2 linked regions of the Stegostoma tigrinum genome follow. The protein of the gene in region 2 interacts with the protein of the main gene of each other region in a biochemical or structural test. Links are inferred from orthologs where the notes say so. Each region holds a gene or a part of one and is shown on either strand. Other genes may lie near its edges. The genes, in order: pax5 and transducin-like enhancer protein 4.

Region 1 (7,201 bases), about 51 Mb from region 2:
TAAACAATGATATAGATTATTTCACGGGTCACAGACAGGAAAAGCAGTTAATGTCCCAGAATGGCACAAATTCATTCTGGTGTCAAGCTCGGCAACTGGAGCCCTTTATGATCAATAACTGGGCAAGATTCTTTCGGAAGCTGAACTGGGGAAGGGCGGAGGGGTCAGTCAATCTGTCAGGGACTGAAGGGCACATGAACCTACTCTTTTTTTGCAGTGATTGCTCGTGAACTATGTGATAGATTTCAAATTCGTACGCCGAAAAACACTTGAGATTAAATGCGGCCTGCTTTTCTTTGAGTAAACCTGTTCAAGGTCCTACTCGTTTTCTTGTTTTTTTTAGTACATTGCCATTGAGAGGAAGAGCAAAAGCGCCTTGGTGATAGAGCGCCCGGTAGAGCAGCCGGAGTGCATACTACTGTTATCCTAAATAGAAAAAAAAATGATAAAACTGCGACCGATAAACGCCAGGGCTTACGGGGCTGTGTCCTTATTGGCCTTTCTACCTTTGGAAGCTCGGGATTGTGTTTCATTGAATAACTTCTTCCTTGCAAAATAAACCATTATCTATAACCGGATTTAATGTTTTAAAAGAGCAGTGGGGGTTGGGAGGTGCTGAGTGGAGACCAGGCAATGCTAAACAAGTCCACCGATCTGAACCATCACATCAGAAGCCACAGACTGGTTTAATTGGTATTGGCGAACAAACTGCTGAGCGGACCTGTTGAATTAATTTTCAAATAAGGAAAATAACAGCGGTTTGAAATTCGCAGAAAATCACATGGCGTTTCACACGCCGAGATATCGGCCACCAGCCCCGTTCCCTCTACAACCTGTTCCCCCATTGCAGTTCTCAGAAGCAAGATCTCAGCGCCCGGCTCCACCATGTTCGGTGTGTTCGCGGCCTATCACTTTAAAAGTAAAGCAAATCAAAAGGAGATGTTGTTTGTGACCAAATGCTACAAAGTTATTATTTTAAGACATACAGACCCATACACATTTCACACTGGAGAAGATACTAGTTTCACATTTGCAGACTTAATTCCCAGTCCCTAGACTGAATCCGGACACCGGGTTTAAATCGACTTTGAAACTGTCCTCGTCAATTCAATTTTGCCTTACATTTTAGTCTATAAAGTGAACGAGCAAAATCGTGTGGATTTATCGGAATTGATGGGCCCTGTGTTGAGAAACTGATTGGAGAAAGTTGCCTTGATGGTTCAGCGGGCGTCGTGGAGAAAGTTACCGGCGAACCCAAATCAGACAGATTTCATTACAGTAAAACCAACACTCCCTTCCCCCACCCTCCCACCCAAACCTCATTTTACTAAGCTATATTTGCAAAGAAATGTGTGTAAAGCTGGTTTCAATTTGCCGATGAAACGTTCTATGCAATTGCTTTATTTCGGCCAAAGAGCATGTGTTGGACCCGTGACAACCCAAAAGAGACCTTTTTTTAACCTATTTTTAAACAACTTCTCTGGGTTTCTTCTTGCTACGCCAAGTTTCACCGGCAAGTTTTATATCAATGTTTATCAACAAACCGAACAGGGCGAGTCAATTTCAGTTCTCCATAGAGGCCTCCTATATTCTGATTTCACATGTGGAGTTCATGTTTAAGCTGTAGCGGTAGACGGTTATTTCAAAAGTATCCGGGACAAGGGTTGGGGGAGGATTTTTTTTAATCAACAAGTCAACTTCTATTTTCTATTAATCTCCGAAACTGAACGTCCGGTATCGCCCGCACCCGCAGCGCGTCTACTGAACAGTCGAGACACTTAATTTTGAAAAATACAATCGATATGAATTGAGCAAAGAAAAGGAGGACGTGGCAACCAGCTCAGGCAGTTGCACGCACTTTAGCTATTTTAATGTTGAAAAACAGCAAAATAAGATCTACAAATAACATCCCCCCCCCCCCCCCCATCGGCGCGCGCGCGCGCGCGCACACACACACACACACACAAGCAGCGCCAATGTCCCTCTCGCACATGAAAACAGAGGTTTGCGGTGAACTGCGTGTCTTCTTTTTAGTGCTTTTTCCTCTCAGTACATTCAGCTGTAGACCCGGTTTCAGTAGGTTTGCGTCGTGCGTACTGCTGGCAACCGCCACGTTACAAATATTCAATGGAAACCAAACTACTCTTTGATCTCAAACATGAACCAAAAGTATTGCTTTAAATGTTGTAACTGCTGACTGCGCAGCGATCACTCATTATCTTTCGAGATCAGCGAAACCGCGGGCGGGTTTGTATCCCAGTTTGCCACAAAGGATGAAAAGGCCACCAAATTCAGCTGTGAAGGGGAAACCACTCTCAAATCAGCATCAAACCAGATGATCAACCACCGACCTGCTCAATTAAGACAGGCAATGCATGCACAGATATTCGCACCCAGAGATACATTTCCTCTTTGTTTACGTTCAGTGTTCACTTTAAGTTGTCAAAATTCACTTTAAATATTCCCCATGATTTGAACGACAATTCACCATCAATTGACTATTTCAAATTCTTTAACTTTTAAACAAGTGTTTAAACACTTCATATAGTTTTACACGGATATTGTTTAATTGTAAACTAAACGCGAAGCTGGTAGGCAGTCATTTCTTGCTTTTACGTCCTATTTCACAGAAAGATTTTTTTTAAAAAAATGAACCTACCTGATCGGACACTCCTGAGTGCGTTGCTATTTTTTTCCATGCCGGTTCTGGGATTTCGAGTCCTTTGTGAAAAGATTGGAAGAAAAGTTGCCCCGTTTCGGTATGTGTGCGTGTTTTGTCGGCTCCGAATAATTTGACTCTTCCGCTACCCCGTCGCGTCTTTGGTGCTGCCCATTGATCCGAAACTAAACGTTTTAGGTGGAGAAAAGGCTCTGAACAAACCGTGAAATGATTAAGGAACTAAAAGAGCTCGCTACATGTGAGATCATGTCCTGTTCGCCTTTAGAGGGAGAAAAAAAATCGCAAAGTCCCTCGACACAATCGAAAAGAAAGTAAAACTCTTACATCTGCCGGACGAATCACTCCCACCTATGGGGTTCCTGGTAACTTTGACGTTGTCTCTCTCACTCTCTCGCCTCCTATCTCCTGGTTTCGGCCCGCGAATCAGTCCGATTGTAATGGCCGGCATCTGCAAATATTTTCCACAGTTTGAGGATTGGGATTGTGAAATGCTACATCACAAACCGACCAAAGCATTGCTCTAACATTCTGAATAATCAAAAGCTGTTTTTTCCCATCATTTCAATCATTGTCTACCGCTACAGCTCCCCCCCCCCAACCACCCCCCACATTGTCCTTTAATTTGCCTCGAGAAACCAAATACTTGCTACCAAATCTCAGGAGCAATAATGCAAATAAATCCGTAGCCCTCCTTTGAAACCCTGTCGGCTCCGTGCACCCACTTGCCTGATTTCGGTTTATTCCTTAAATATAAACGCAGAGGTTGTTTACAAATTGTATCGAATTGATTCTCTTTTCATAGGACTTGGGGGTGGGCAAAGATAATGAACTGAATGCCCTTCCCCGCCCTTTGTTTCAGACCGGATACTTTCTTGATATATTAAAACAAGATTTTGCTTCTGAACGATTACTACACTTACAGATAGGGGGAAAAACAATTTGCCGCGCTTCTATCTTCAGCCCTTTCTGAAATGGTATCAAATTTTGCGGTACGGAGAATAGTAGTAACTGAGACAGGTAATCACACTTGCACCACTAATGTACGGTTCCCACCGCATTTCAACATTAGACAGTGATCTCCGTGTAACTTTATCGCCTTTTGTGTCACAACCTGGGTTTATTTAGGGAGCGGGGGTGGTGAATGTTTACATCGTTTTGCAGAAGCGCAAATGGTACTGATTTCAGTCAAATTAAAACTCAAGTGAGTGGAACCCGGGTCAGTTCGACAGTGCTCGCAACTTTCCCGTGTTCTCTAATATATTTCTCTATTTAACCAATGACACACCGCAAAAGCAAACTTACACGTAAATTACCGAGATAACATATTTTTGCTAGATATAACATCATGAGAAACCTCAAAGTAAATGTTAAAGGATAAAAATACCAACGCTTCTCAATTCATATTTCTCTGACCTGCTGTACTCACATATTTTTGGTGTATGTTAAAAAGGGCCAGCCAACCTGCCAAAAATGTCTATGAACAAAAATGCATTTCCTTTTTATATTAAAGCCTACAATCCTAAAGTACTGTAGTTCAGAACACGGAATTTTTTTATGGAAACATTTCTCCCAAACTCTACTCCTGAGTCTGTCGGTCTATAAAGCGCGTACGGTTTACAGGTAAAATCCAAAGGATGCTAAAATACTCGTTCTGAACTAGCCAGGCTCAAGAGCAAACTCTATAGGGACGACCTTGTCTTTGTTCTTTTCCAAAAGGCTTCAGGTGATACGTCTTAATCGTTTATTTAAACGTCAGAGCTCATCAATGAACTAAAACAGGTGTGCTAAAACAAGATCGCCACTAAAATCTAAACCATATTGGTTTAATTTAAATGAAATGATTGCACTCTGCATCAAACAATCGAAAATATTTTTTCAGCAATTGACACAGAATCGCGGCGTTTGAAAGTTTCTGGGCCAGTTAGATATCGACTGCAAAACATATGCAACAGAACGAACCAAGCTCTCAGATTTTGGCCAGCGCTTGGTTTAAAACAATCTAACCAGGGAATGTTGTCAAATTAGAAACTTTTATGAAATTTACAATGTTGACAGTGGAAAATGATCCTTTCTAAAATATTTAAAAGGAGATACGTGACCTTTTATCTTCAGGTCATCCACCTTTAATCATTTTATTAAAACCTTAAAACCAACACAACTGCTGAAGATTCTCTTGCTGATAAGTGGAAGGGCAATTTAATGAAGGGTCAAAATAATACAAGTTCACTTACAAGTTGTATTGTAACCTTCCAAGCTAACTCCGAACTTAAGAAAGAAATTATCATGCCCGCTGTCATCTTAATTATGTATCAATTCTATTTCCCACCCTCTAACCCCATCTGTTTAACATCCTCACTGGTCTCGAACGGGGTCTAGATTCCTGGGTTTGGTCAAGATCATTAAACATGGAAATCCACTGAACTGAGTAAAACACGTCAAACATATTTGCACGCATAATTCATCCCAAAAACAGTTGAAACTTGCGTTTTACCAAGTCACTAAATCTCATGATCCTTGCAGATATCTAGTATTTTGAAATGGTGTGCGAGTATAACGCTATAAACTGTGTCCACCTACTGACACAAGTATTGAAAACTTATAACTGATTAATAAGTATCTGAAATATGATCGATAGTGAGTTGTACACACTACATTAAAATGTGTTACGTTTCGTTTCCTCGCTGATATTAGCCTACTGTAATTAGATGAACCTACTAACATCACTGCTTCTGACTATCCCTTTACACGTAATTGTACGAAGCGGGACAAAATGGTTACCACATTTTATTGTCTCTAGAATTAACCTATACAATTAACATTTATCAGTATATCAACGAAACTGATGTCAATCTCAATCTGACGTATCTATTTTTGTTTTAATCCAGGTGCTCTTCTCCAGAGCACATCGTCTTCAGCCTTCGTAGCCTCAAATGCTTATTCAAAACTTTAAACAGGCTTCACTGAAAACAATGGCCCTGCCAACAACGTGGCTAGATTAGATCTCTTTTTCACAAGTGGATATATGATAATTTATCATTTTCAATTCGTTCTTTCAATTTGTGTAGCCGTCGGTATTAATTCAGATTTTTCTCTCCAGCCGTGTGAGTTTGGCTGTCAGTTTCCTCGTCATACGTCAGTTAACAACGCAGGGATACAGGAATACATTTTTATTATTTTTCAAAATGTATCTTGTGTTCACGTTTCGCCCGCTGCGCCGAAGATAAAACTAAAAGCCCAATGGCAGTCTAAGTGTCACCAAATTTCACTTTTACCTGATGGAGTTCGTTAATCCAAATGCTGATGATTCAACAGTCTCGTTGAGAAATTTGGTAAAAGGCAAGCGGGACTAAGAAGTGTCAGGATTGTTGGTCTGGAGCCGTGGGAGCAACTGATGGGAAAATGTGGTCGAGTTGTGTAAGTCTGTGAAGTCCTAAATTCAAGGGTTGACAACCGATGTTGTTCACTTGAAATGTAACAGTTCAATTTGATCGGAATTCGCATCTCTCACACAAATCCTTTTACAAGTCTACACTGATCACAAGATTACTCCACTAGCTTTAGAAGAAAGTTTCGGAGAAAATTCCAAATCTTAAAAAAAAATCTGGTACAGTGATCCAGTTGGTAAATATGACATTTGATCTGCGACAGTATTTCCGTGGAGATTTTTCTTGACGGGGGTGGGGTCTAGGAACTGAACCAGAGGTGATAATCGAAACCGAAATATATAGATTTACATCACTCTTGAAAAGCAAACTAATGAATGACAGTCACCTGGAGAGCATAGTTGGAATAATCTTTCGCACCGATTCAAAAAACAGCAAGATAAACAGGGCAGTCATATTCTTAATAGTTACCTTCTCAGTTTGTTTTAATTCTGCACCTTATATTTAGGCACTGGGAAATCTTCCCTTTACACTGTCGGCAAGTATTTCTAGATATTTCCAGGCCTTTCAGTTTCATAACTCTAGCTCTTAATAAAATATATCAACAAATATCAATAAAATCACACAAAGTCTGAGTTTTATTTTATCCAAATTAAATACACAATGTGCAAAAATGTTAAAATTCAATTTACTACAGGTGATCTATACAAGAGTTTTAACCTCACTTACTATTTCAGTATGATCGTATTTCAACATTAAACAATGTTTCATTGTTCTTTAGTCATAAGAATCAGTGTCTCTAGGTGTGAGGCTGGAAAGGCACAGCAGGTCAGACAGCATCCAAGGAGCAGTAACCTTTCTGGAGGACACCCTTTATCAGGGCTAGGGAGGGGGAGGGAAGCACAAAAGTAAATATGCGGAGGCAGTGGGGCTAAGGAAAGGGTAAGAGATGGTGATTGGTGGTTGCAGGTCAGGGGTTATTGTGATCGTTCCTCCTGGGATGGGTGGAGTGCTTAGGTGAATAGGACGGTGGACAGGTTAGGTCACATCTGGAGGGGAGGACAGGACAAGGGATCAGGCGGAGAGTGGAGGGATTTTGAAGCTGGTGAAGACAATGTTAAGGCCATTAGACTGTAAG
Region 2 (7,218 bases):
GAGCAGGCAAACGTAAGTATTCATAGTGCCTATCCAAAGAGTCAACTCATGAATGACGGGATGAATAGCCTCATGTGCTTTAAGATTGAATGTATGGGAAAGTTAGAAGCCAAATCATATTTGGTTATTCCAGCACATCCTTGCCCAACTGAGCTGCCGTAGAAGAACCCAAAAATAGGCGACTATTCTGATACAGATAGTAAAAACCACTGATGCTGGAGTCAGAGATTACACAGTGTGGAGCTGGAGGAGCACAGCAGGCCATGCAGCAACAGAGGTGCAGGAAAGTTGAAGTTTCATGTCGGGACCTTGATGCTGCCTACCATGCTATGCTCCTCCAGCTCCACACTGTGTTATCTCTAATATTCTAACAGAATCTGGGCTTTATTTGGTGAGTGCAGAGAATCTTAGAGTTTGTTCTTTCTGACAAGGTCTGCAGCACATGAACTGGGCTGGAGGTGAAGCCTTCAAACATTTGGAGTTTCCATAGGCCTGAAACATCAGCTTTTGTGCTCCTGAGATGCTGCTTGGCCTTCTGTGTTCATCCAGCTTCACACTTGGTTATCTTGGAGTTTCCATGTGTTGGGTTATTCAAAGTACAGACCTGTTTGAACATCCACACACTCAACTTCTTTGACCTCATTTTCTGCCAACTTTACTGACTTGCTCCCTCAAAAATGACCTTCTCAATCTATCTGTCCACTTCAACTCCACTTCCAACTTCTCTGCTTGTACAAGATCACTAAGCCTCGTGCTCACCTTCCAGTTCAAACTCTCTTCATTTCAACTAAACAGCATCTTAATTCCCCAACCCTAAAATTTTTTGGACCAATAAATAATTTTTTACTTCTATTTCAACCTGGCGTCCTTTCCAAAATTAATACTTAGGGTGAACTTCTCAATGTCTGTTCTTGGTGCATCAGAATATTGGTTCTTAATGTTAAACAATGGTGAGCAGTGGGGCTTTTACTTCAGGCTCGGCTAAACAAAAGAAATACTTTTAGGAGCCTTACAGCTCTTGGAGAATATAAATGTCCTCCCCATCTCTGCAGGTTACATTCAAAAGTGGAATCTACAGATGGAAGAATATGTTTGTACCTGATACTAATGTTGAATTTTGGAATACCCAAGGAAACAAAAATTAGAAAGGTCGAGGCCATAATAAATCTTCAGAAATATCGCAGAACAGAGAGGTTCTTGGACCACAACTTCACTCCTTTTCTATTTCTGGCTCAATGTCACCCTTTCACACTTTGGCTTATTTACCTTTCTATTTTGAAACGAACTGTTAACTCACTACCCGTACACCTTGCGTTTCTCGTCTTAACGAATTTTCGCAACAACCCCCGCACAATTTTTCGCAGTTACCTCAACACGAACTGCAGAAACCATTGATTTTAAAATGTATTTCATTTTCAATCTTGTTACTAAGAATAAGAGAATCCGGAAAGCTAATTCATATCTGACTATCTAAACTTAATGTTACATTATTCATCATGCTTCCAAACACAGTTGATCCTATAATCTAAATTCATCTTACAAGGATATTCAATTGGGTTGAAATTCTCCAGGATCCGTAATCGACTCCAGAATTATCCATGCAAAGGCAGCATGCACCATGACAGGGACAGTCGCGCTTCTCGTAGTTCTATGTGAAGTAGAAAGCAACATCTTACCTTTTGTTAGTGGCCGCCTCGGCGACCTGAAAAGCCTGAAGGGTACCAGTGTCACCGTTATTCAATATCTCCGTGCTGATTTAAATTTGGTATTTGCCTCTTTATTTGCATATGCAAGGATCCTCACGCCTGTTTTAGACAATCTTGTCAAACGCTATTTTGCCGTCTTTAGACCACTGGACGAAAATAAGAGGCTCATTTTGAACCATTTTCCGCCGGTAAATGGGGATATTAACAACTGATTTCTAATAGAATCCAAATACTAGTGATTAGAATTGAGATATATCCAATGCAAAAATAAAGACCCCAATACATTAATAAAGACCCCAATACATTAACTCTGAACTCATTGTGAATAATGCCTACAGCTATTTGAAAGGTACAGTTTTAATTACTGTTTTAAACAGCGGTGATAAATTTCTTCTGTCTTGTAGTCACAGTTTATAATGAAGAATTACAAGTTTGAATGAAATAGACACAAGTTGCGGGCGAGATATACACCTTTTAGCAATTAGAAAACCCGGAAGGGGTGGGCAGATTTTGAGATTTCAGTTAATGTCTTTCTTTATTGTGAAAGTTCTTCATAAATCTTAATGTCCTCAATAATTAATGCCTTGCTGGTTACATAATGACAAGGGAGTGGAAAACTCAATCGCTTTAACAAACCAATTTTAGAATACTCTGGATAGCCTACATTGAAACCAACTGCTTAGTCGGTGTAAAACTTGCCTGTGATAACGATCGTTGTGCTTTAGTCACTTCTAAGTACTTACTGCTCCCAATTAAATGCCAAATCTTATACAACTCTCTTAATGATGTGTCTTCTATGTCATTCATTCAGAAGACACCTTAAAATATGTGTCACATTTCCTGTTTGGAACGTGGGCCAGTTAAGTTTCAAGAGTATTATGGAGCATTTATTCCACTTACAATGTTGCCAGAAATATGTAAATCAAACAACTGAAAATTGACACAAACACAACTACACTTTGTTTTCAAACTGAAACTCCTACCAGAATCATTTAATCAAAAGATGGGCTGATAAGAATGTAAACAGAATATGGCAAGAACAAAAGGAAACACTATCTCACAACATAAAACAGAAGCACTTTGTTATCAAGGGAAGGCTATTACGTTTTGAAATCTTTTGCCGGAAGGAAAACAGCGTTACAATAGAAACTGTACAAATGACGAGAACACCACTCCATCGGCCGTCTCCGCTGCTCCCAATCTTGCCACCAAATCAATTTTTGGACTATACCAGAGCGGTCTAATGGGAGGAAAACTGAATTAGCTGTAAAAGATATTATTTCAATGACATTATATTCGCGCCCCTTTTAATTAAAATTCAGATCTAAGGCAACGATTTAGCCAGCGTCTTGTACAGTGGTCACATATTACTTATTTGTTCTAGTTGTGTTTTGAATGTCGGCCATAGTGATGGATCGAATCGCTACAAGTTTATGTCTCCGTTTCTGCCTTCCAAAGAAATATTAGCATCACAGCAGTCGCGAGCGCTTCTATACAGAAAGTAGCCAAAAATAAAACTGAAATTATCTTTTGGGTATCATCTATGTTCCTTCCAGAATCGCTCTGGGGGAAAATTAATCAATAAAAAGAAAACACTGTTTTCCTGAGGAAGGAGTGAAAGCGTTAATGTGGTGAGGCATAATTTTCGACATGCTTGCTTTTGAATTGGGTTTTGTTATCCAAAGTTAAAACATGTCAAATTCTGGAGGTGCAAGCCAAGTGCTCCTCCACACCTCCCGACTCCATATCCTTGCTCACCTTTACGGAGCCTTGGGGATCCCCAACCCTCTCTGTAATGACAGATTGCTCGAGTATTTTGCAAAGAGACATTCGACCCTAATTAACCAACACTGCAGACAGCGTTCGGATGGAATAAAGCATGAGAGGAAAACACTCTCATTTCACCTAACGCCGGCAGAGCCCACGTTACTTTGATTGACAGATGAACAAATGTTTCCTCTTTTTTTCCCAACTTTCCGCTTTCGCTGGAGGGTTAAAAAAGAGCCTGAGCACCCAGCGAAAGGCAACGCGCTCTGCGCCGCCAGGCGTCAGCCGTGCACTTTTTACTCACTCTCATTGGTCCATTCACTAGCCCTTCGTCACCCCCCCACGTGGGGAACAACAACCAGGACCGTTCGTTATTGGCCAGCACTGGAGAACGAGAGGGCGTGGCCAACATGCTTCTGCTCGGCGATTGGCGGATGCGTAGAAACAGACGCGCAACGGGATGAGTGATGGAAAGAGAGGCGCCGCTCGCCATTGGGCCGCAGATCAAAACGGCAGCGGTCGGGGCTGTGTTTGCGCCGCGCAGCCTAATGGGCATTGTAGTTAGAACGGCGCGTGTAGTCCGTAGTCTGCAGCTCGGAGCAACGGACGAATGGACTACATATCCCAGGGTCCATCTGTACACCGCGCCCTGCCCCTAGCCCCGCTCTGCTCCGCTCGGCACCGGGTGAAGTATCTCATCCCCTGTACCTCCTCTTTCCCTCGCTGAAGTGAAGTTGACCGGGGTGTGAATCTGTAAGAATGTTAATGACACGGCGTTTCTAAATTTGGTAAACACGAGTCATTACTTCGGTCTGTTATCGGATGAAGGGCAGGGACGAAGCTGCTGCTGTTGCTGCCGCCGCCGCTGCGGCCACTCCGCCTGCAGCCCAGCCTCCTTGTCCCTCTCCCACGGCCAGTCTGGACTCACAGATGCTGTGAGGCAGCTTCGAGTCGCTGCCCGGCATAGCAGGATCCCGGATCGGAGGAAATCTCCCGGAGAATCTGCAGTCTTCATCCCGATGCTCCACTTTTTTTCTGTTTGTTTCATTCGCTTTCTGGGGGGATCGGAGAGATTTAAAGAGAGGGGCAGATCATTGCTTTCCACCGGATCGCCTACAACTTGGTGACTTTTTAAATTAAGGAACTTAAATGACACTAATACTGACCTGATCGACCGAGAAGGCTTTTGGTACAAAAATCCCAGCGAGATGTATCCTCAAGCCAGACATCCTGTGAGTGTGTTCGTGTGTTGTATTTGTGTGTTGTGTTTTTGTATGTTTTATTTTATCTCCCTCCTCTTCTCCAAACATCTCACACGGACAATCACAACGCGAGCTTTAGCTTTCTCTCAACACGCCTTTAATTATAGTCTTTCAGTAAATATTTGGAGACGTGCAAGGTGCAGTGTTTCCGTTCGCTTTGTCAATAACGTGAAGGAATAGCAAATTGATGGGATTGGCGGACGACTTGTCTCGGTACTGATGCTTTTTTTCTCTCTATTTCTAGGCGCCTCATCAACCCGCACAGCCCTTTAAATTCACCATCTCCGAATCGTGTGATCGCATCAAAGAAGAATTTCAGTTTTTGCAGGCGCAGTATCACAGGTAGATAGAATAGCTTTTTATGTAAAGAAAACCTGGCTACGTTGATGTTTCTGGAAGTACAAGCTAAGTGCAATTCTACAAATTGGGTGAGGATATTTAAAACGTCCTTTTCTTGCCGTCTTCTTTTCGCAGAGATGGGGCTATGGTATATATTGTCCACACTTGGTGTTTTGCATGTAAGCTTCTATTTCCTCCTATTTAACAGTCTGAAGGGAAATGTTCTCTCGGTTACTACTGTTTGGATGGTGTACGAGTGCAAAGCTCGCACTCTTTGTCGTGTTGGCAGTGAAGACAGATTTGTAACATCAATACAATGGGGTACTAAGGTTACTTGCTTCAACTGAGTCGTTACATTCTGTTGAATTTCTTCCGAAATGTTTTAAAAACAAGTGATCGGAACGGTTGTGAGGGACTCCGGACTCGGGTTATCGCTGTCCTCAATGCACTCAACGTTTCGATATTATTTTTAAATCATAGTGTTCTGATTTCCTTTCATTCGCGTTCACATTTTCTCTTTCATGTGATGTGACGGTGAAGGAGCAATATTCTCTGAGAGATTGCACTTCTTTCGGCTGACATGTAGAGGCTACAAAGTGTGAAACAATCACATCTTTTATGACTGGAACGCCCCCAAAGCTGCATTAAAAAAAAAGTTATGTACAGCCCGGCAGATCTGCAACTTCGATTCATTTTTGTTTGAAAAATATGCTGCATCACTTTTTTTGAAATCGCTTTTCAATAGTTGTATTTACATACTTTTTGAGGTACGGCGCGTTTTGTCTTTTCAAATGTTGGGATCCTGTTTTGCTTTTGTTTTTGCAGCGAGTCTAAACTTTATAAATTACACAATTTGGCTTTGTTAGTCGTGGACCAAGTATTGCTTTCTTCAGAACTCCTGTATTTTTGTACCAATTGAGTTAGTATTTTTAATCGTTAAATAATGGTTTCCTTTTCGGTTCTAATGAATTGAGTCTATTGAAAGAAATAACGTTGACGCATTTGTCAATGTTTGCATGTGTCAGGTTTGGGATTCTACTTGTACTTATTAAAATCACTCTTAGAATACATACTGTCACATTTGTCATGTACTCAGAGTTGGCGTCATAAATCATTTCTAGAACAACAAAACATGGTACAGTACTAATTAAGTGCACCCTGACTTGGTAAGCCCACACTTCTAATCATCCGGGTGAGATCGTTTACGCAGAGTAGCCTGCAGCGCAGTCTATGAAATGTCCAGATAGCGTCTTGAACAATTTTTCTTTATTTAAACAGTTTGAAATTGGAATGTGAAAAGCTGGCCAGTGAAAAGACTGAAATGCAACGCCATTATGTCATGGTAAGTTTAAACATGACTCTTTTTAAAATAATGGCAGATGTTGCTAATTCACCATATTTTTCAGTTTTTGTGACTGTGAATGCAAAAATCAAGATGGCTTTACGAACAATATCTTATGTTCTTTTCACAGTATTATGAAATGTCTTATGGTCTGAATATAGAAATGCACAAACAGGTAAGAATCTTTCATTTTCGATAAATATTTGGGGGATATGTTTGTTACTTGAACATGTGATATTGGGCATTGAAATAGACTTACGCAAGTGTGTCATAAGATTTTGAAGAGGAGAAATTGAGAGTTCTTTGCTGAAAATGGCAGAAATTTACAGGATTATTGAACTCCTTAAGGAAGATGTACATTACATACTACCTGCTGTATTGTTTAATAAACCAAAATCATGATAGTGGGACACATCTTGTTGCTGAAGTTTATTCCACGTGACGTGTATGTATTGTGTTTTGAACAGCTGTGAGAATCACATTTCAACAATGTCTTCAGCATGAAAATAACTTCTAACATCCAAACTATTATCAAACCAACATTTTTTTCTTTGTCATTTGAGAGTCAGGAGGTTTAAAATGCAAACATGGTGGCTGAAATTTGTAAGATTGTGATGGTATCTGAAGCTTCCAGTTCAGGACTTTTCTGTTGATACTGGCTATTTTAAACCTATCTCAACAATGGTACCTAACTATTCAGAATTTCAGATAGTACAACCCATGCCGTGCAATGTTATTACTTGAAATCGAGCCCCAAAATCTAAGTGTTGACCACAGTCTCATATCCTTTTTGACATGATTT

What was found.
Region 1: the proteins of transducin-like enhancer protein 4 (region 2) and pax5 form a complex in vitro, tested with the Homo sapiens proteins (2 studies listed by BioGRID). The link is inferred for Stegostoma tigrinum from reciprocal best matches to the Homo sapiens genes TLE4 and PAX5.

Annotation. Positions count from the first base shown.
Region 1 is NC_081356.1:12,203,462-12,210,662, forward strand, and holds the start of pax5 (paired box protein Pax-5), read right to left. Parts: upstream 3,051-7,201; 5' UTR 3,005-3,050; intron 2,850-3,004; exon of another isoform or gene 2,845-2,849; 5' UTR 2,700-2,844; coding exon 2,660-2,699; intron 1-2,659. UniProt on the Homo sapiens protein: Transcription factor that plays an essential role in commitment of lymphoid progenitors to the B-lymphocyte lineage. Fulfills a dual role by repressing B-lineage inappropriate genes and simultaneously activating B-lineage-specific genes.
Region 2 is NC_081356.1:63,210,250-63,217,467, reverse strand, and holds the start of transducin-like enhancer protein 4, read left to right. Parts: upstream 1-4,134; 5' UTR 4,135-4,681; coding exon 4,682-4,705; intron 4,706-4,979; coding exon 4,980-5,077; intron 5,078-6,352; coding exon 6,353-6,416; intron 6,417-6,546; coding exon 6,547-6,591; intron 6,592-7,218. UniProt on the Homo sapiens protein: Transcriptional corepressor that binds to a number of transcription factors. Inhibits the transcriptional activation mediated by PAX5, and by CTNNB1 and TCF family members in Wnt signaling.